Arabidopsis thaliana: one gene and its partners. The protein of the gene in region 1 interacts with the protein of each later gene in a pairwise test. Each region holds a gene or a part of one and is shown in the gene's direction. Other genes may lie near its edges.

Evidence for each region. Proteins that work in one complex are often made in the same cells at the same time.
Region 2: the proteins of RABA1c (region 1) and AT5G05820 interact in a protein complementation assay, tested with the Arabidopsis thaliana proteins (one large-scale study listed by BioGRID).
Region 3: the proteins of RABA1c (region 1) and CHX27 interact in a protein complementation assay, tested with the Arabidopsis thaliana proteins (one large-scale study listed by BioGRID).

What each region holds. Positions count from the first base shown.
Region 1 is NC_003076.8:18,555,469-18,562,336, forward strand, and holds RABA1c (RAB GTPase homolog A1C), read left to right. Parts: upstream 1-3,591; 5' UTR 3,592-3,849; coding exon 3,850-4,070; intron 4,071-4,741; coding exon 4,742-5,171; 3' UTR 5,172-5,477; downstream 5,478-6,868. Other genes in the region: AT5G45740 (Ubiquitin domain-containing protein), read right to left, coding at 1,507-1,577, 1,656-1,775, 1,859-1,981, 2,587-2,629; AT5G45760 (Transducin/WD40 repeat-like superfamily protein), read left to right, coding at 5,653-5,760, 5,863-5,959, 6,050-6,111, 6,201-6,263, 6,349-6,408, 6,511-6,567, 6,664-6,706, 6,777-6,854. UniProt on the Arabidopsis thaliana protein: Intracellular vesicle trafficking and protein transport.
Region 2 is NC_003076.8:1,749,933-1,757,890, reverse strand, and holds AT5G05820 (Nucleotide-sugar transporter family protein), read left to right. Parts: upstream 1-3,529; 5' UTR 3,530-4,033; coding exon 4,034-4,480; intron 4,481-4,892; coding exon 4,893-4,996; intron 4,997-5,104; coding exon 5,105-5,333; intron 5,334-5,635; coding exon 5,636-5,785; 3' UTR 5,786-6,205; downstream 6,206-7,958. Other genes in the region: AT5G05840 (replication factor C subunit, putative (DUF620)), read left to right, coding at 1-623; AT5G05830 (RING/FYVE/PHD zinc finger superfamily protein), read right to left, coding at 1,066-1,306, 1,608-1,981.
Region 3 is NC_003076.8:254,178-262,243, forward strand, and holds CHX27 (cation/H+ exchanger 27), read left to right. Parts: upstream 1-3,128; 5' UTR 3,129-3,232; coding exon 3,233-3,451; intron 3,452-3,591; coding exon 3,592-4,104; intron 4,105-4,338; coding exon 4,339-4,836; intron 4,837-4,918; coding exon 4,919-5,776; intron 5,777-5,952; coding exon 5,953-6,168; 3' UTR 6,169-6,313; downstream 6,314-8,066. Other genes in the region: CHX26 (cation/H+ exchanger 26), read right to left, coding at 1-61, 138-1,025, 1,110-2,120, 2,251-2,463; AT5G01700 (Protein phosphatase 2C family protein), read right to left, coding at 6,671-6,970, 7,052-7,275, 7,406-7,520, 7,608-7,913. UniProt on the Arabidopsis thaliana protein: May operate as a cation/H(+) antiporter.

The sequences.
Region 1 (6,868 bases):
AAAAAGTGTTACTAAAATAACTCTTTAATTTTTGCTTCTTTTTTTTTCATACGAAAACTCTTGATATCAAAATATCTTATATTCTTGTTGTGTGTATTCATGATAATGAACAAATTTTAGAATCTTGGATATAAAAATAATCAGATTATACATGAAAATATATAAAAATTGATATTTAGAGTCAAAAATGAATCTAACAATAAAAATGTAAGTACATAAGATGAGTCTAATTTTACTAAGTATAAAATAACAAACAAAAAATAAACATAAATTAGCGACAAAAATAATTAACATATTTTTATCTAAAGAATTTTCAAAACAAACCCACGCGTAGCGTGGGAATTCATCTAGTCATAAGTGAAAATAGAACATTTTGAGAAAAATAGCTTAGCTTACAGGATTTAACTTTTCAATTATTTTCATTTATTAATTTTAACTCAGTTAATATTAATTTGCATGATGTAAAATTAACTTACGAGATTACGCTATATATAGAAAATATATTTTCAACAATGTTTGGTTTCTAAATATTTTTGTGGATTTCTTTTTTCTATTAATTATTAGCCCTGGGCGTTTGGGTATTCGGGTCGGGTATTTCGGGTTAGGGTTTTCGGGTTTAGAAGTTTAGGACCCGTTCGGGTAGTTTAAGATTTCGGGTCGGGTTCGGGTTCGGATTCGAGTTTATTTATATATTGAAATATCAAATTTTGTGTGCAAATCTATTAAATTACTTCAAAATTTCAAAAATTCTCAAAACAACACCAGTAGTTTTGCTTGAATATATCTAAAAAGACACAAAAATAACTAAAATATCCAAAAAATCCTAATATTTTCTATATATAAGTGTAAATATAACTAATATATACTTATATTTGAAATATGTTTGGATACCTATTCGGGTTCGGGTTCGAGTTTTTCGGGTTTTGAAGTTTAGACCCGTTCAAGTATTTGAAAATTTTCGGTACACCCGCCTAAATAGGCGGGCCTTATCTAGTATCAACATAAACTTTAACTAAATAAGGAAGTTTGAGCTAAGTGTAACATTAGATAATTCAAATTAATGTTTGTGGTAGAAGAAAAAGACAATGTTAAAAAAAAAAAGGTATCTGCTACCTAGACTCGAACCCAAGCACGGATTGAAAGAGTGTGGGGACACAACCACTAACGCTAGCTTCAAATATATCAGTTGTATTCCAAGATAAACTTTATAAACCTTGTGTAGGGCACGTGCCCTACCTACCCACAACGTAGATCCGCCCCTGGTTGTCAAAAAGACTTCATAAGATCATTTTGACCACAAAAGTTCACAACTCTTGGCTCTGTACATTTGTACCTCAACCACCATCTCTCACTTTAGATTCCAGTAACTATACAGAGAGTGTCTCCTACTAATATACCGTGTTTCTATTCACTATCAATTGCAAAAAGTATTGAATATGAGAGACTTACTTCAACTTCTAGTCCTCTTCTACTACTTACTAAGTATTGTGTCAATGTTCTTGGAAGTTACTGTCCTTCCTCTCGAATCAGATTCGTGGGCTCACTTAGAACGTACCTAGGAAGCTCATATCTAGCACCTGCATTGAATAAGAGCAAGTCATTAAGGTAACAAAACAAGAAACGAGAGAAACGAATCAGAATTGTGTATTACAAACCTCTTTCATCCCAGCACAATGTTAGGTCACGGTTCTGAACAATCACGCCTGCACTGTCAACAATAGTTTGTGCTAGTTTCAAGTCAGCTTCAGCAGCAGCTCGAAGTGCTTCCCATATCTCTGGTTTTCAGTAAATTTCGCTCAGTTTCCAAATGTACATAGTGCGATGCAGCAGATTACAAGAAAGAGAGATATATATATACCTCTTTGACCACCATAGTGTGGAGAGGTGTCCCAAAATTCCTCACGCATGTTCGTAAGTTGTGCCCTTGTGATTGGCTCAGTATGTGCCCACGGTTTAGGTTTCATGATTTTCTTCCTTTTTGCTGTGTCAAACGTACAAAACTCATAAGAGAATGATACAATATAAACTACCACCAATTTTAAAACAGTTCTTTCAGTAACACCAATATTATAGCCATCTACTTCAGAAGATCATCACAGTTTCAATTTCATCAAGACAACAAATACAGTATAAGGCAGAACGAATCAGATTATATTGTCTATTGTTCACAGAACAATTTTTCTTGGTAAAAATGGAATGTTATAACATTAGTAAACGGCCATTTCATTTCAATCATACCATCGATAACAACTTTCTCTGATCCAACATTCTAATTCTGAGCAGTAGAAACAATGTTGAAGAGCATTCTAATTCTCTGCTGAACTAATTCTGAGCTTCAAAATTTGGAATCTTTAACGAATCACAAACATGTCAACACCACAATAAACTGATATTTCCTTCGAAATCACTCCAAGAATCATAACATTTGCAAGATTAGTTCATGTTAACACCTCAAAACTAGAACTATCACCAAGAATCAAAACATTACAACACAAGTATAAATCGTAGCCCAAATTCTGAGAACAAATTCAGCGAGACAAACGGAGTGCGGAATTAAAGGTTTAAGAGAGTATCGATTCCACTAACCTCCGCCTTCATTTCTGGCCTGAGAAGATCCGATACAACCCATTCTCGAACCGTTGAGAGTCGCGTTTGATTAGGTGAAAATTGGAAGTCGCTTCGAACAAGTAAAGTAAATGCCAGTACAAACTCGACCGTCGGGAACGAAACGGAGAAAGATAGCCGCCGATAAGAGTTTCACGGCGGGAGAATCGCCGGAGAAGTCTGCAAGAGTCGTCTTCAAGGTCAAATTCTGTTTTGACTGCCAAATTAGGCCATGAATGTTTTGTTGATTTTGGTGGGTTTTTGGATTTTGGATTGTGGCTTTTGGTTTTTTGTTTTTGATTTTATGAGTTTTTGATTTTGGTGGAGATTTTAGATTTTGCAAAATCTTAAATGGTAACTTTTCTAGTTTTTGATTTTTATATAATTATTATTTAGAAACGTTTTAAAATTATTTATTTAAAACTTTATTTTTATTTTTAAAAACAAAAAAAAAAGAGTTTACGATAGAATTTGTTGAAAATCCCAAAAAAGTGAATTTTGGATTTTAAGAACAAATGACTAGAATCTTTTAAATTTTGAATTCCCTATAATTTAGGAAATTAACTTTTTACAAAATCATGAATGGATGAAAAAGTGGATTTTGTAAAATCAAAAGCCAAAATCAACTTTAAAAACTAGTACCATTCAAGGCCTTAGTTTGTTAGAGAGAAGAAAGTGAAAACAGATCTCCCCGATTTTATTTATAGTCACTTTACTTGCCACGTCATATTATTCTGGATTAGTATATTATATCTGTTTGAATTAATCGTCAGCGTCTGTAGTCCAACGGTTAGGATAATTGCCTTCCAAGCAATAGACCCGGGTTCGACTCCCGGCAGACGCATTCTTTTTTATCATTTTAATCAGTTTAGAAAAACATAAAAGATAAAGACAAATGTGAATTGACGAATACGTCCTCGTCTTTATCGAAGCGAGCAAGGTAATAGATCAGAACGCGTTAACAGGGCAGTTTAGTAAATTTGGCCACACAAATGTTAGATTTCTTTGTGATAAAGACAGTACACAAGTCCTTTGTCTTTCTCGTTTGATATTTTCCAATTCCGCGTCTTTCTCTGTTGAAATCGAAAAAATTTTCAAAACAAAATCTAAGGAAAAAAGAGCAACAAGTTTCAAATCTCATTTGGGTTTTTCATTTTGAAAAGAAGGACCCATTTTTATCTCTCTCTTTGTTTTGTTTTCTCGAATCTGAAGGAGTAAAGTTAAAAGCTTTGAAGGAGAGAATCAATGGCGGGTTACAGAGCAGATGATGAATACGATTACCTATTCAAGGTTGTTCTGATAGGTGATTCAGGTGTGGGCAAATCCAATTTGCTTTCACGATTCACGAAGAACGAGTTTAGTCTCGAGTCAAAATCCACGATCGGGGTCGAGTTCGCGACTCGGAGTTTGAATGTTGATGATAAAGTCATCAAAGCTCAGATTTGGGATACTGCTGGTCAAGAAAGGTCTCATCTTTTTCAACCACATTGTTCATTTCTCGATCTGGTTTCTTATATTAGAACATTTTGATTGAAGTTTTGGGGTTTATGGTTTTGTTTGGTTGCCAAAGACAGTAAATTTTCAGCTTAGGTTAGATCTGTATCAATTGATTTAGATCCATTGGTATTGATCACTTTTATAAGAAGAGATCTGGATTAGTATGTGATTTTGACAACTTGGGTTTTGTGTAAGATAGGAGAATCCTATGATTATGATTATAAAGTTATCAGCTTTATCAAATTTCTTCTGTTGTTTTTGCTATTTTAGGTTTATGTGAGAGAGCTTGATTGGTTTCAGTAACTTCATTTCTACGATTCTTAGCTCTTCTTTCTCAGATTTCACCTAAGATTCTTCAATCATTATCGATTTCTTCTGTTGTTTTTGCTTAGTTTATTTATGTAAGAGAGCTTGATTGGTTTTAGTTGGATTCTTAAACTTTCATTTGAAGCTTTTACTTGGTCTTAATTTCAAAATTGAAAAGCTTCTTGCTTTGTATGATTTGCTATTCTCCATTTCTCTGATCAGTTTTGTAAAGCGTGCATAGTCTGAATTCGAAACTGTAAAGCTTCTTGCCTTTTTTGTGTTCCTGATGTTTCGGTTAACTTAATTCTCTGTTTCGTTGACTTTGTTTCAATAGGTACCGAGCCATCACTAGTGCGTATTACCGAGGAGCTGTTGGAGCGCTTCTTGTCTACGATGTAACCCGACACTCAACATTTGAAAACGTTGAGACTTGGCTGAAAGAACTCAGAAACCACACTGATCCAAACATTGTAGTCATGCTCGTGGGCAACAAATCTGACCTTCGCCATCTCGTGGCTGTTCAGACTGAAGATGCTAAGTCATTCGCCGAGAAAGAATCTCTCTACTTCATGGAAACCTCGGCTCTCGAAGCCACCAATGTTGAGAACGCTTTCGCCGAAGTCCTCACTCAGATTCACCACATTGTGAGCAAGAAGGCGATGGAAGCTGCGAGCGAATCCGCTAATGTTCCATCGAAAGGAGACAAGATCGATATCGGTAAAGATGTTTCAGCTGTGAAGAAAGGTGGATGCTGCTCGAACTAATCAGAGAGTAGAATTATTGTTAACAACCTAAGGATCGGTTTTTGTTAACGGTTCTATCGAATATGAAGATTGCTTTTAGGTTGAGTAATGCCCATTTGGTGTATTTCTGTTATTTATCTGATCTATCAATGTTATTGTTTGAAAATGCTATGTCAAATTTTCAGAACCCTAAATTATATTTATCTCAAACAATAGAATTGTTGAAAAGAAAAGATAAAAATAGTTTCTGCCTTTGATGATTTCAGTTTGGTTGAACATAATTTTCGGTTTGATTTCGTTTCACCGTATCGGTTCATTTTGGTTAAGTGGTACTAAAATCGATTTCTGTTAGGTTGGAATTTTGTTGTTTCGATTTTTTTGGTACAAAACCGAAGGATTACCAAAATATCCGGTTTAGTTTTGGTTTGTTTCGGTTAGCCTTTTTTAGCTCAATTTAGAGCTTGAAACTGAGCAATCGCCGGAGAAACTCTCACTCACAGTTATGGCTACGGCAATGGAAGAGCCAAGGAAGCTGAGAGGCCACAAATCAACTGCCACTTGTTGTATAGCTTCTCGTGACCGGCCTGGAATTGTTCTCACTTCCGGCGAGGTTTCTTAATCTCTAATTCAAACCTCTTTTTTCCGATGAATTTAGGTTTCGTTATTGTAGTTACTTCGCAAGATTCATAGTTTTCCGATCATACGATTATAGGATGGTTGCATTTGCTGGTTTGATTTGCGATGTAAAGATGTTCAATTCATCATCGATGTTGGAACAGAACCAGTTTCATCTCTTTGTTTCAAGACAGGTTTTGTCTCTTTGTGTTTTGTCTGTTTCTCTCTCTTTCAATTTCTTCTCTTTGTTGCAATTTGGTGATAACTTTTATTTGATTTTTCAGGTAATGAGAACATTCTCTATGCTTCTTGTGGAAACGAAATCAAGTCTTTCGATGTTCATACGGTAATTTAAAATGTTCAAACTTTGATTAACTAACTATAACCATATCCTTCACTTAGTTTTAAAGCTTCTCTCTTTATGCAATTTCATAGCTAAGTGCTACTTCTTGGAAGCCATTAGAGAGTTACAATTACAACAAAGATGAAGTTAACCAGGTAGAGATACTAAAAACTCGACTTTTCGAAAAAGTTATCATATTTACCTATGACATTGATGTTGACATCTTTTGATTTGTTAAAGGTAGTATGTAACGGAAGGTCGTCTTTTCTTGCTTCTGCAGATGATTCCGGCGATGTTAAGGTACACTCAATAGTTGTTCTTAATACTTAAAACTCTTAAAGATTACATAAACATGAATTTTGGTGGGACGGTTCTCGGTTTGATTAGTTTGCTTGTACACAGATCATCGACCTTGGTCAGAAATGCCTTTATAAAACCCTTAGAGCTGGTCACACAAGTGTATCCTTACTTCGTTTTTTTTACCCATTCTCGTCTATGAAACTCTACTAGCCTCGAAAAAATGTCTCAAATCAACACCTTAATGAGACATATAAGATATGTAGTTCTGTACAATTCATTCCATGGAGACCTTGGGAAGGTAACTAATATCTTATTGTGATTTGTTATTATATATACACATCTCTTCTAAAGTGTCTAATTTCTTTCAGTTATAACTGGTGGACTTGATTCAAAGCTTGTTTTATGGGATTTCTCAAAAGGTCGCTCGCAAAAGATTATAGACTTTGGTAAAGACTATGCC
Region 2 (7,958 bases), about 17 Mb from region 1:
CAAAATCAACGGCTAATCTATTTGCAAGATCAGTATGCATGGGAGAGAAGAAGATAAATGATGAAGACTGTTTCATACTCAAACTTGATGCTGAGCCATCGGCGCTTAAGGCGAGAAGCAGCAGCAATGTTGAGATCATACGGCACACTGTGTGGGGATGTTTCAGCCAGAGAACAGGTCTTTTGATTCAACTTGAAGACTCTCACCTTCTAAGAATCAAAGCTCAAGACGATAACAGTATATTTTGGGAGACAACAATGGAGTCTTTGATCCAAGATTACAGGACCGTTGATGGTATCTTGGTAGCACACGCTGGTAAAAGCTCGGTGTCTCTGTTTCGGTTTGGTGAGAACTCGGATAATCATTCGAGGACTCGGATGGAAGAGACTTGGGAGATTGAGGAAATGGATTTTAACATTAAGGGTCTGTCTATGGATTGTTTTTTACCGCCTTCTGACCTGAAGAAGGACGATGATGAAGAAGAAGAAATCGAATGTGGTTTAGCTGCTAATAATGAGAAGCTGCCTATGAAAATCCGAAGCGCTTCTTTGAGGATTAGTTCCTCAAAGGTCTTAGCAATTGTGGAAGAAGAAGATGAATCAGAGGTCACTGAAGAGACATAAAAGCATGGCCTGAGTTTCGGTTTTTGTACATAGCCTTTTTAATCTATTGCAACATGGAAACAGAGGATTTTTTCTATTTTTGGTTTTTGAGTTCCTCTGTAAATCACTGAACTCTTGGGATGCAAAATGCAATGCAAGTGATCAGATCATTCATAATACAATGAGATAAGAGAAGAGACTTTCACAAGACTGCATTTGCATTAAGCTTAAGAGTGACTAGAGCTATATACATCATCCGCAATCAAGAAACAGATTTACATATTCTAGATAGAAATTAAACCCGCAAATAGCATAATGAGCTCTTCTAGGTCTTGTTCTTCCTCTCTAAACTTACATCAAACTTAATAGTGAAAAAAGGCATTGGTACAAGAGTGAAGTACCTTTCCGAGAGATCTCTAATGAATCTCTTCTTCTTATGGAGAGTTGAACATTACTTGTGTTGCTATGTAGAAGGAACATTGAAGTGGAAGAGCCATGAGATAACAAATGCAAAGACCATACAAGCTAAAAGGAAATTCAAGAACCGGTGACCTTGCCAGAAGCTTCTACCTTCCACCAATCGTGGACCAGATGTTCTCAGAGTTAGATTCTCTACACCATTTGCTTCATTCCGGCTTTCCTCAGACTCCACCTCAACACTTCCAACAACATTACCCGCAATCGACCCACAAACTTCACAGATTCTGCAAAGCAAAACCAAACCATGAATCTCATCACAAAGAAAGAAAAAGCTAAGCTTTGCGTCTCTCATCTGACAACAAATGGCCTCAAAACTGAAACTTCTCAAAAAGACAGTCAAAAGAAAGCTGTTCAATAACCAAAAGTGACAATAACCTAAAGAAAGTAAAAAACTTTCCTACATCAATGGAAATGTTAGTCATTTAGCCTTTCCTAAACTATCTTAAAGCTTAGATTTTTACGTACTCCTAATGGAAGTAACCACCAAACAACCATTCTCAAGAAATATGGAGATTTTGAACTTACTTGTTTCCTTTGATCTTGAACCAAGTCTCAGCACAGTGTTTATGAGCAGCAGCGAGATCAGCTTTACAAGAACAGCCAAGCTCAATGGGAACACCAGATTCAAGATTCGCTGCATCTAAGCTCATGTGACAAATCCTGCAATCTCTCTCAGATTGCGACAAATGTACAACTTTCTCAGGCAATCCAAGCTCCAGATCTATTTCCACCGAACACACCGACGCATTGGATCTCCTCTCCTCATCTTTCACTATTTCTTCCTCCTTCTCCACCGCACCGGAGCTCCGACGAGGCTCTCCATCGCCATCACAGCCACTTGAGCTATTGATTACTTTAACAGAGACAAAGGTCTCGAGATGTGGCTGTACGGATTCCATATTCGTATAGACCCGGATGACGAATCCTCATATAAATTATGAAAACGAGACTTGTGAAGATGATGAATGATGATGATCAATGCTTTGCAGCGCAGAGAGAGAGAGAAAAAAAGAGATTTCTGGTTGAAACTTTACAGTAAAATTACATGATTGCCACTGGGTTTTGGAGTTAAGTGATCGTCAGATTCTCAGACAAAACTATTAACTCTCTCCTCTCACTTGTTCACCTGGACACCTAGACAGACCCACCTCTAATAAATCTACTATTTTTTGGATCATTACTGTCAATTTAATTTTTTGGATATGAATACCTAACCTAATTGATGTATTTCTATTATATTTTGGGTTATTTAAGCAACTTTTAGTCTTTTTTTTTTTTGGGAACAAAAAGCAACTTTTACTTTCTTATTTACTTCACAAAAACTTCTAGTGATTTCATGACTATTTTAGGTTATTCAACATAAATTAATGTAAATTATAATTTTTTTTGTAAAGTTAGCTCATTATATATAAATAAATTATAAGTTCTAGAAAATGCAATATCATGATTAAGAAAATCTTCATGATGAATTCGTCTAACATAAATTTCCTAACAATTTTCTACTCAATGTTTATAATCATCTTTATAGTATTAATATCTTTGATAGGCTGTGAAACTCTACAACATGATGGAAAAGTATTTCCAATGAAAGGTCCTCTTACTAGGGTTGTGATTTATAATGACAATGATTATCTTTTAGGAGTTCATTGTAAATCAAGAGATGATGATCATGGCTTCCATATTCTACAAAAAGGTGGATTATATGGTTGGATGTTTTACGTGAATTTTATGAATTCGACACTCTACTTCTGTGGATTTAGCCAAGAACAAGTAAAAAAAGGTGTGTTCGATATTTATAAAGCGGTTAGAGATTCTTCTAGATGTAGAAATTGTACTTGGGAAGCAAAGGAAGATGGTATTTATGGATATGGCGAGATTCCTAAGAAAAATCCTTTGTTTTATAAGTGGCTAATGTAATGTGAAATTGAGTGGTTATAAAATCAAATTTGAATCTAAATGATTCATATGCAAATTTCATTGTTATTTATACGAGTTGTAATTCATCTTCACAAGTTGTAACGGCTAATAACATCAAGCCCAAATGCAGATGATCCTACCATTGTTTTGACTTAAGAATCGAGCATCGATTCTAAACTATTGTATATTACATAATTTCCCTTTGCTACACCACTAATAAAGCTTTTATTGGTCTTCTACCACTAGACTTAACACCCACTTTGTCAAAAACGTTTGCTAAATTTATTCAACTTCATCATAATTCTGCCAAACTTCTGCTACTTAGATAAGCTTTTCTCTGAATAGTTCGTATTTTTAGAAAAATTAATGTAAAATCGATTGCCTAACTAACCAAACGCTTTGTTAATTACAATTAGATTCGTGGTCGATTTACTTAGTCAATTAAATATGCTCAGAACTGAAATGTTTCGTTAGCTAGGAATTTTCAAGGATTAGTATATGAACGTAAATCATTAAATTTAGAACTCAGATTCGGTAATAACCAATAACAAAGTCAATGGCTCCTTTCCTTCATTGTTACACATCTTCACACTTTGATTTTTCAAGTAACCAAACAAAAAAAACTTTAGCCCAAAGAAACATTACATAACGCACCAATTATAATATCATGAAACTGAAAGAAAAAATAAATTAGTTAAAAAAGGAAAGAGAAGTGTTGTTGCAGCTTTAGCCCAAAGATCTCTCCTTTTTGCAGAGCTTCTTCTTCTTCTTCTCCAAAAATCCCAACTTTCTTCTCTTTCCCGGTTTCTTCGTCTCCAGCATTTTCGCGTGTTGTAACCTAATCCAAATCTTACCCATTGATGGAATAACATCATCACGACGCGTCAAAATTCTGTATCGGAGGACCGAGAGATCTCCATCTCCTGTCCAGATTCGATTCCCACCAATCCCAATTTCGTGAAATTCGTTAGGGTTTTAGTTTGAATCTCATCTCATCAGATCGAGTCGACCCAGGATTAGGAAGAAGAAAAGCGATGAAGATGGCGACGAATGGCCGGTTTTTCACAATCGGGCTAGTCGCGTCTTGGTACTCATCGAACATTGGTGTATTGTTGCTGAACAAGTACTTGCTTAGCAATTACGGATTCAAGTACCCGATCTTTCTCACCATGTGTCACATGACGGCTTGTTCGTTACTCAGCTACGTCGCCATTGCTTGGTTGAAGATGGTTCCGATGCAGACGATTCGATCCAGAGTTCAGTTCTTTAAGATCGCAGCTCTAAGTCTCGTTTTTTGTGTGTCGGTGGTCTTTGGTAACATCTCTCTCCGCTTTCTTCCTGTTTCGTTTAACCAAGCCATTGGTGCTACGACGCCGTTTTTCACCGCCGTGTTTGCTTACCTGATGACGCGTAAGAAAGAGGCTTGGTTGACTTACTTCACTCTCGTCCCTGTCGTCACCGGAGTTGTTATTGCTAGTGGGGTATTTTCACTTCTTTTGACCTCTTAAATTTGAATCCCTTATGTATGCTTTTGGATGAGTTGTTAGAGAGGTTGATGTAGATGTGATGTAGGAGCAATGAACTAGATATGTTGGGAACATAGGTATGGTTCTGGAGCAATGAACGTGATATCGTTGATTCAGTTTCATGTTTGGCCAATGATGCTAGCTTTTATCTTTGTGACAAGCTCAGACATTGTTGAATTATGCTTCACATGAGAAAATTTGGTATTGTTTTGTGCTTGTATTCGCTAGATTTTGTGTTTCTCTCATCTTCTCTTAACCATGTGAACTTTATGCTAAAAAAGTTCGAGTAATGGAGATTTTGTTCTGTTTGTGTGTGTGATGTGTTTGATTCTATGCTTGATATTCTTTAATTTATGGGTGTTGTCAGGGTGAGCCAAGCTTTCACCTGTTTGGATTCCTTATGTGCATTGCAGCAACAGCTGCGAGAGCACTTAAATCAGTGCTTCAAGGAATTTTGCTTTCTTCTGAAGGGTAAGAAATGGCTGGTATTGTTGTAGTCGCCTTGTTAGAGGTCTATATATCAATAGTTCAAGTATTTATATGAGTGTTGCTTAAAAGATTCTAAATATTGTATTGAAGGGAAAAGCTGAACTCCATGAATCTCCTCCTTTACATGGCTCCAATAGCTGTCGTGCTCCTTCTGCCTGCTACTCTTATCATGGAGAAAAATGTTGTCGGCATTACAATTGCACTTGCAAGAGATGATTTCAGAATCGTTTGGTATCTTCTATTCAATTCAGCGCTCGCCTATTTAGTCAACTTGACAAATTTCTTAGTCACAAACCACACTAGCGCCCTGACTTTACAGGTGATTACAGTTCACATTCCTTTTACATTCTTAGTGGCATCATTGTTTATGGTAGAAAAAATGATACGGGTTTTGGTTGGAGTTGAAAGAAAGTTAGTCCAAGGAAGTGTAGAACTAGTGAGAAACGATTATCTGCTTGGTCCTCCTGTTAGTGAGATCCTGTCATTTGTATTGGATGTTGAGTTGGGTTTGCTTTTTTTATGTGTATGATAATGCTTGATGTTCCCTGCGTTTCAAAACGAACTTTTGAGATATGATTCACATAAACTCATAAAACGTCGTTTTGGATCGCTCTGTGATAGGTGCTAGGAAACGCCAAAGGAGCAGTAGCAGTGGTGGTCTCTATTCTAATCTTCAAGAATCCGGTGTCAGTGACCGGAATGCTGGGTTACTCCCTCACCGTCTGTGGAGTTATCCTGTACAGCGAAGCCAAGAAACGAAACAAAAATTAGAACACTAAACACACACAAAGCTTTTACTTCTTCTTCATCATTCCCCCCTATATATATGTTTTATATTTTCTCCCCTATGGATATACAGGCAAGTAGTCTCTTTTGCTGGGCCAAACTGACTCTTGTCTTAATGAAAAGCTGGGCCAAAAACATCTCTTTTTTTTGGCAGAAACAGAGAAGCAAAGCCACACAAAGATTGATTACCAAAGGCAAGAATTTAGAGAACTTCCTCCTATGAATAAGTAACCTTTTTGTTTTTCATTTTTGTTCTTTCTTCTCGGATTCTCTTGCCTTTCCTCTGTAGGTTGTTTGTTGAATTAGGTTTGTTTCTTCGATTCTTTACATTTTAGTTTTGTGATGTCAACATTTTACAACAACACGGATTGATTCATTTAATCGAAAGAGAGAAAGTTCCTTCTATCTTCTTCTTAAAATCCATTTTCTCAATGTTTATCTGAGAATTCAATTCAATATTAAGCTATCTCAAGGTTCCTGAGTTGTTCAGATCAAATAGCTGTGTAGTGGCAGAGCAGAGAATCAGAATAGGAAGTGATAACAGTTTGCAGAAGAAATATCTAAAAGAGAGAAAGGAGACAAGAGAGTTATTTTTACTTATGAAGAAGACATAGTCTTGTCTTTGTCTATAGTCTTTGTCTTGTCAAATCACTCGCTTCATTTTCTTTATCTGGTAACGGCAGCCATTATCATATCAAGCCGTAGATCCGGATTCACTGCAGCATATCTCACTTTCATGAATCTAATCCACACATTACCAAGTAGGCCATTCCAAATATATGTCGTAAATTTTCAGGATTGTTTGACCCAAAATGTGTAAAGAACACACTCTATGTAGTGTTTTTAAACCTCCTTGCTAAAACATGGTTTCTTCGAAGCATGAGTGTGATGGAGAAAGACTCCACGTAGTCATGGTACCAAAACTTGTAATGTGACAATAATATTAACTCTCTCGACAGGGAAAAGAAAAAAAAAGCAAGAGTAAAATTTTCAGGAGATAGAGAGAGGAAAAAGCCAAAATGGGGTCGGAGAGAGATATAGGAGTAAATTGGTTAATATAATAGACTTACAAGTCAGACAAAAAAGCTGAAAAGAAACCAAAAAAGGCTTGATTAAGCTTGGAGACTGTGACAGTTGAGTTTTTGAGTGTCTAGAAACTCTTTCAAGTACTCGAGTGGGCTTTTCATGAAGAAGCTAAGGAACAAGAATTGCGAAAAGTAATAGAGATTGAAAAAGGGAGGACGATAATGATGAGGACCATGTACACACACGTATCAACTCTTTTTATCCCAAGGACTCTCATTCTATGAACCAATGGATTCACTCGACACTTTCCATGATTTTTTTCATGCAAAGATTGTTACCATTTTGATTAAATTTAAATTTCTAATTTTGGAGATATTAACTTTTCTTTATCATGTCTAATTTTTGTCTGAAAACATCTGTAGTTTAATTAGTACCTAAGGATTATTTGAGGAAACATAGTTAAAGAAATTAAGAAACTATAAAACAAATTTTTTTTTCTTACTTTACTTGTCAGATAATATATCTTGCATATCTAGTGACTCTGCAGCTCTAAACTCTGCTAACTTCAAAGATTCTATCGTGGGCCACTTTTTCTTGAGCTCTGATTTTGTCAGTAATTTTGGATTTCATATACAGTCTGTTTAGAAATCATTTATTTTCTTTCTTTCCCAAGAGTTGCTATGCCCATATTCTTATGCAACTCCATTCTTTCAGTTCTCCTAGACAAGGATAATGGTTGAAGAAAAAAAGAAAGAAAGAAAGAAAAGGACAATGGTACAAAGAAAATGTTATTTAAAAAAAAAACAACAATCAATGGTAAAAATTAGTGGTAAGAGAAAAAAAATCATGGTAATGCTTTTGGTACCTATAATTCCTCTTGCTTATGTGACTAACAACAATCAAAGCAGTATAGATTTTACTTTGACGGTAAATGTCAAATGTGAAATGTATCAAGTTCTCAATCAAACTTGTAATGAAAGGCCTTTAAACAAATTTAAACACTTGGAATTGGGTGCTTTTGCATTTCGTTTTACACGACCAAACTTTTAATGTATGTACACGCAATAATTCGGAGGAGAATAGTAAGGTTATGCAGATGAAATCATGGCAATGACTAGTAGACAAAATACAT
Region 3 (8,066 bases), about 18 Mb from region 1:
CGTAATTGTTACCTTCCTCTCTCAGTAGGTTCACCAGATCACTCGCTTCCTTTATCCATACCTAAGACCAAAATGAACGGTTAAATCTAATCCGGATTTGAAAACCGGAGAAACGGAGTCAAGACTTGTGTGTTTACCTCTCGTAAAGCGACATTGTGTTTGTTCATGGTGTCTTGACGGAATTTTTCGATGGTTCTGAAATCGAGTCTTTTCTCTACGACGTCGTTTAGGTGTGAGACGTTTTCACCGTCGACAAGTTTAAGAACGGTTAGGTTTACGTAAGGTTGGTTTGTCATTCTAACCGCAAAGGCCAGTGTCTCACGGTCGTCTGCTCCACCGAGGAATATTGAACAGATGTTGATTCTCATTGAGCCGTTCTTCATCGCCGTTCCCATGTTCTTGAAATCTGGAAGCCGTCCTTGGTCCATTAGAACCGCAACGGAGCTAGGTGAGGCATTCCGGACGTTGCGACAGAGCCTTCGTTCTGCTGCAGTCCCGTCGGCCATCCCGAAAATGATGAGATCGGTTTCTTTTTCGAAGGCCAAGGCACATACATCCTCGTGCATCGTCTTGCTCGGTGCAACTGCTGTGAAACATTCAACGGAAACGTTTTCTTGCAAATCGTGGCCGCTTCGGAATTTCTCGAAGGCTTTGGAGATCTGATCTCTGCGGCTGGAAGACGTTGATGACTCGTCGTTGTGACCTGGATGGTGTTGAATGAGGAGAGGGACGTTATTTTGCTCAAGCTCTTCGAGATTAACGGAAACGATGGAGTGCGAAGAGGCGCTCGAGGGACAAGTAGAGAGCTCCAAGACGGTGAGGATGGGAGGAACGGTTTCACGGTGGTAGAAACAAGTGAGGATCTTGAGAGGTTTGTTTGGTTCGTAGTGTTGAACGGTTTGTCGCCGGTAAGTGATGTGTTTCCTCTGCACCCACCCGTAGAGATTTTTGACAATGGCCGTGAAAATGGTCGAGTGAACCATGGCAGAGATCACCATTATCCCAAATGCCTCGTGGCTTATATTCTGCATCCCTTAAAACAAGTAGTTAAAAGTCAAAACACTAATTGGCGATGAATGATATTTCATTTGTACTAAATCAATGTGTACCTTGTAGTTCAAGAGCTGTTTGAAGATTTGGACATCGTAGATCCCTTGTATGCAGACGATGAAGCCGACAATCACTGCGTGTGATATAGGAACTTGGAAGTAAAGCGATGGAAGGACGATGGAGGCAAACTTTGCAGCACTAATGGTAAAGATAAGGAACTCCAAAGATATGATGTCGCGTAGATTGAATGAAAAGAAATCCACTTTGTTACCAATCCCGATGACGTAACACGGCATAAGAACCGCATAACAGAAGCTACCGATCTTGTCAGTGAGACCAGTACCGAAAGGAGGCGTCTTAGGAGTGACAAGACCGAGAGCCACGGATCCGACTACGTAAGGAAACCCTACAGTTTCAGACAGGAAAGTGGCGGTGCACAACATGACGCAAATGGTGCATAGATGGGAAGCCTTGAGTTTCTTTCCTTCAGGGGTTCTCTTCACTATCCAGTTGAATATTGGTCGGCACACAACTACTATACCAACCAGCAGTAGTACCTTTGTGAAGGTAGGCAGATAAGTGGTCTTGGAGTAATTTTGATGCAAGAAACTGTCAAAGGTAATCAAAAGGAGGAAAAAACCCCAGCCGAAGCAGTTAGCCACCATTATGGAGGAGAGGGCTAACCTTCCGGGCTCCGAGTTCAGCATCTTGAGATTCGACAAAACCGAATACGCCACTTGAAAATACACTACGGATTGGTTTGTTAGTAAATTGTGGAGCTGCTCGGGATTATTTTTCGCCACGGTTCCACGGATGTTGCTCGTGATTACTGTACATGCTATGGCGCCCACCACGTAAGGAAACAGAAAAAGAGATAATCCATTGATGATTGCTAGCTTGCCTCCTCGCTTTATAACTCCCATGTCCACTTGAGCCGTGCTTATGTATGAGATGAACATGAAGGATATTGCCTCAAATGATTCTATTATGAAATAGCTTCTTGTGTTGAATAATTTTTTTACTAAATCAATGTTTTGTCCCAAAGCCGAGGGTCCTAAGAATATCCCAGCCTGTTTCATATATACCAACAAAATATCACACTTCTATAGTTTAAACCTTTTTTTCTTTGCGGGAAATATAGAGAGATCCAAAATTTATTAAAAAAAACGTAGAAAATGGTATGATAAAGTGATTACATACCAGAATTTGAGTGACGAAGTCGACATTTGCGAGAGGGCGGAGAAGAGCTTGGAAGACGGAAGAGAGAGAAGAGACGAGAGAAATGAGAAGAAGAAGAAGAGGAGTTGAATATTTCAATGGATCATCTCCTCTAAGTAATCCGCCAGAGCTTGATCCCAACCATGCCTCGCATACAAATTCATGTGTGCCATTACTTGTAACACTATTGTTCATCTTGTTTCTCTTTGGGAATATTTTTTCTTCTTAAAACTAGTATTCACGTTCTTCTTTATAACCATTTTTGTTTGTGTTTTTGAATTCAGCATAACGCTAACTAATTGAGCAAACAGATCAAGCTTGTTGAGCTGGGGAAGAAGATACATGTATCTTTTTTAAGATATTAAACAGTTTTTGTTGTTTTTTCAAGGATTTTGTGTTGACTTTATTATAACCGTCAGAGAAAAATAGGAAATTATATATGTCATATCTCACTTTGGCAGATGTATTTTTTGGTATTTTACACATTTTTTTTTTATTATAGTTTTATTTTTTTGTTGATCCTGATCTTTTTTAAATTAATACTTATAAGGAGTATTACTAGGTTGATTATTAATTAATCTTTTTTTGTTAGGGATCTAACTTCATGGATTTAGTAGCTAGGTTGGTTATTATAACATCAACATGCAAAATATATATTACAAACACACATGTTTGTGCAATCAATCTCAGGCTATAATGATGATCATCTGACCATGCTCAAGATTTTTGTACCACACAGAAAACATATATAGAAAACCTTAAAAGTAGGATGACCTCTAAAGAGAAATAAAGAACAAGAGGATAAACAACATGTACAATTAAACCCCTAAATATAGCTAGAGAGAGCAGAAACAAAAAAAAGAAGAGAATAATTAATACTTTCTTCTTTTCTTCAACTCACAACACAATCTCTCTCTTTCCCTCTATGGCTTGACTCTTTAGGGGAAATACCTAGCAGGAGGGAATGGAAAATATAACCAAAACTTTTCAGTACGGAGGAGTTGATTGGCTTTGCGAGCCATGGGTAGGTGCAGGCTCTTTGGGGATTGGCCGGGGAGAGAATCCGCTCAAGTTTGCTCTTCCTCTTCTTCTCCTTCAGATTTCTGTCTTTTCCATATTTTCCGTATCTTTTCAGTTTCTTCTTCGGCCTTTTGGAAAATTTGCATTCCTCACTCAGATGCTGGTATACGTTTCCATATCTAAGCATCTATAATTGGAAGCTTTCTAGTGGAAAAATATGGACTAGTCGTCTCAAAAACATGTATAGCCATGCCCATAATGGTGTAAATGTGACTTAATATTTAATAGTGAATTTGTTTGCAGGCTGGGATCTGCTTAGGACCGTCCGTTATAGGACGTAACAAACAGTACATGGCTACATTCTTCTACGCGAGAAGCGTGTACATAATCGAATCCTTCGAGGCCATATGTTTTCTCTTCATTTGCTACATCACAACATGTCAAGTAGACACTAGGATGATAAAGAGAGTAGGCAAGTTAGCATTCATAAACGGCATCTTACTTTTCCTCATACCTTTCGTATGGGGCCAATTCGCGGCCATCTTGATCTCCAAGAGGCTCAAAAGCGGGCCTGCGGGGATCCCTCCCGTGGAGTTCCACCATGTAGCGATCGTCCAGTCCACAATGTTTTTTCAGGTGGTTTACGGAGTCTTGTCGAGCCTAAAGATGTTGAACACTGAGCCAGGGAGGTTAGCACTTGCATCCATGATGGTGCATGACTGCCTCTCTTGGTGTTTTTTCATGCTTAACATCGCCATTAAACTTAATGTTGACTTACCCAATAAAAATCGCGCTGCTTTCTTGTCCGTCTTACAGGTACCCAAGTTGATAAATAATTTCTTAATTAATCTACAAATTTTGCTTTGGAACATCTTCCAATTTTCTTACTATAAAAACATAATTGACTGTGTAAATTCCTACAAAAATAGACAAACTAACTAAGATCCTAATAAAATGCATGAATCCAATAATATTTACGTATAGTATAAACTTGCTTTGATCTATATATACGCTTTTTTATTAATGATATAAAGACGGAAATGAATGCAGATGATAATGATATTGGTGATAGCATATGTGTTCCGACCACTAATGCTGTGGATGAAGAATCGAACACCAGAAGGACACTCTCTCAAGGCCTCCTATCTCTCTGTTATATGCGTCTTGCTCTTCATCTCCTGCCTCTGGGCAGAATTTGTGGGTTTACCTTACTTCTTTGGTGCGGTCGTCTTAGGTCTAGCCACCCCAAAACGTCCGCCTCTAGGCACGGGACTGTCAGACAAAATCGGTTGTTTTGTTTGGTCTGTCCTGATGCCTTGCTACGTCATTGGGATTGGCCTCAATATCGATCTCTCACTGTTTTCCTGGAGAGATGTTATCCGGTTTGAGCTACTTTTTGGGGTGGTCAGGTTTGCCAAAATGATAGCCATTGCCTTGCCTTCCCTTTACTATAAAGTGCCTCTTTGGCACGCCATTCTTGTCGGGTTTATCGTCAATATACAAGGACTTTACGACGTTCAAATATACAAACAGAATTTCAATTACACGGTAACAATAATTCATTTAGGATATACTTTGGAACATATATAATTTTAGGTCAATAACAATCAATAATGGTCAATGGGTGCAGAAAATATCAAGCAAATCTTTTGGAGCAATGGTGATGTCAGCAACGGTAAACTCGACAATTTTCATAGTGATAGTGAAGAAACTGTACCAAACCATGAGCAAACGCAACCCTTACAAGAGACGTACGGTGCAACACTGCCGAGTGGAGGCTCCCCTAAGGATCCTCACTTGTTTCCGGAACCGTGAGGCGGTCCGCCCGGTGCTTGACCTCGTCGAACTCTCTCGTCCAGCCATCGGGTCTCCTCTCTCAGTCTTCGCGGTGAATCTAGAAGAGCTTAATAACCATAGTCTTCCCCTCCTTATCCATCACACGCAAGAGATTAGTCCCTTCCTCGTGCCTAGCCGAAGGGACCAGATCGTTAAGGCCTTCCACAACTTCGAGAAGACTAATCAGGAGACCGTGTTGATAGAGTGCTTCACGGCAGTGGCACCGCGAAAGACGATGCACGAGGACGTGTGTGCGATTGCCTTTGACCAGGAAACAGATATTGTGATCCTAACTCTTGATGCCGGGATCGAGTTATGGGAGAGGCTCCTGTGTCGTAATCTCCTGCACAACTGTCCCTGCTCTGTTGCGCTTTTCATAGACAGAGGAAGGCTCCCAGATTTCAGGTTCGTTCCACTGAAAAAGCTTACCATCAATATTGGTGCTATCTTCTTAGGAGGACCAGATGACCGTGAAATGCTTGCGTATGCAACACGCTTAGCCAGCCATCCAAGCGTCGAGCTCCAAGTCTTCCGGCTCGTGGACCAGAACGGCGTCTCTCCGCTCAGAGACATGGTCGAGAGGAATCACGACATGAGAGTCATCAACGTCTTCCGCAAAGAAAATTCCGAGAAAAACATCATCTTCAGAGAGGTAATGAGAACTATTTTGCCTTGGCTTGGAAGCTATCTTATTTCCCCTTAGACGAAACCTTCTCTATGCAACAGAGGTTTCTATTCGGTTTAGAAAGTTTCTTGTGTAGACGAAACAGAGGTTTTTCTTTATCTAACCTATCATAATGTGTTCCCCTGTTTCTAACATTCTTAAAGGTAAGAATAGAGGAAGCAGTGAATCTACTGGATCTACTAAGGAAGGAAGGGGACGACTTCGATCTGATGATGGTCGGGATAAGACACGAAGAAAATCTTTTGATGTTGGAAGGATTGTCAGAATGGAGCGATATGAAGGAGTTAGGAGAGGTTGGAGATGTGTTGATCTCCAAAGATCTCGAGCTCTCTGTTTCGGTTCTCGCCGTACAGCAATGAGATTGGTGACCGTTTATCTCGTTTTCGTTCCCCGAGTTTATGGATTTGTACAGCCTTTTGTAGAATATTGAATACAAATTTTTTTCTAAAAAAGTTCTACCATTCAAGAAGATATCTTGTTTACTTATATCTTTCAAATCATTCCAGAGCATGTGATCACCAATGAAATTTCAACAGAGATTAACAGATTGTTCAATCATTTGGTTTAGTTAAGTACTTACCATCTTTACTTTTTTTTTTGTAGCTGTTCAGGTTAATGCATTTGCTGCACAAAAAGAACTTATGAATCTTGAACAACTGTGAGGTTGAAATTTGGATTTGCGGAAAAGAAGACCAAGTCCATTAGTTTGTCTACTCTTTTTACTTTTTAATAGCTTCAAAAAACAAACAGAACACAAAATTATTTCACACACAAATAAAGTTGATGTTGAGTAATATCGACACCTCAACAGGTTCAAATTTTACTAAACAGTTAGAAACAACAACAGTAACAATTATCCTACTATGAAACCCTTTGGGATAGACCCAATGGTGACAATGGTGCGGCTCCATAACACTCGTTATTGCTCTTATTTGATCTCCAGGAAATAGTTGATATTGCTCGGCTCACGTTTCCTTCTCTTGGGTAAGGCCGGTGGTTTAGGTAAAGCACCACCACCGCACAGTCATCAGCTTTTGAGGCTGGAAACTTTGTTCTCCAAGTCCGAGCGGCTCGCTGAACCAACATCTCAGCTGCAACTGACCGGTCCTTGCAGGAACCTACAACTTTCACCACTTCTTCGTTTGACAAAACATCCCAAATCTGTTCATCCAAAGAACACGCAGAAACCATTTAGTAGGGAATCCATTTGTCAGAAGACTGAAAGCTGTACAAGTTGTTTACCCCATCAGTAGCTAGAACCACAAACTCGTCTTCTCTGCTGACTTTTCTGCAGAAGACGTCAGGAATGCAGACAAGTCCATAGTCTTTGAGGCAGAAATCACCAAAAGCCCTTGACATTGCGAGCCCCGGGCAATCATCATCAGGCATCCACACTCTATACACATCGGGTTCCTCTTCCATAGCAAACACCCTTCCCTTGCATGACACTATTCTCTCTGCTTCGCCTGTTTACAGAAATCAAAGCGAAAAGTTCTTCAGGAGATTTATTTGTACGTCCCAACTCAACATTTGGTACTTTTCAAAGAGTTATTACTTATTAGGCCCTAAGTTAAAAGAAAAGGATAAGATGCTAACGTTGGACACAGGGTTTCAGATCAACCGTGAGTTGGACAGCTTTGAAACTGTTCTTGCTTCGGGTGCCAAGAACGGCTCGTGAATGTCCCAAGTTGGCGATCACCAAACAGTCAGCCTGCAAAATGTTTGACAAAACATCTTTCAATTTTTTTTGATCAACTGTCTTAAAAAACTCATAAAGCTTTAGAGACTGCTGATTTACCTGTTTAAAGACAGTTACAGCAGTTGTACCGCTGCAAAAACTATCATAAGGAGAGTCGAGACCAAGTTCACTGTCTATTTGCTTGAAGAATGTCACTAGAATGTCCTCGAATTCACGGAAGAGTTCCTCCTGACTCTGTGAACTATTATTCTCTATGTTTTCATCGCCGGCAGATTTGGAAGATCTAATTTTTGAATGGACCCTCGAAGGTAAATTTTCACATACGTGACGAGAAATCTTGTGACCCATGGGACCGTGACCGTCAAATACACCGCAAAAGATCGTATCTTCTTCCCCACCAAAGTTCTGCAGCAAAGGTTATGATGCAGATATGATTGGTCATTGCCTTAAGAGAGGCAGTAGCAAGATGTAAAAACCCATGTAATAAAGATTAAGAAAACAAAGCAGTAATGGCTACAAATGCTAGCGCCTGAAACCGAACCAAGCGAACAAGAAAAA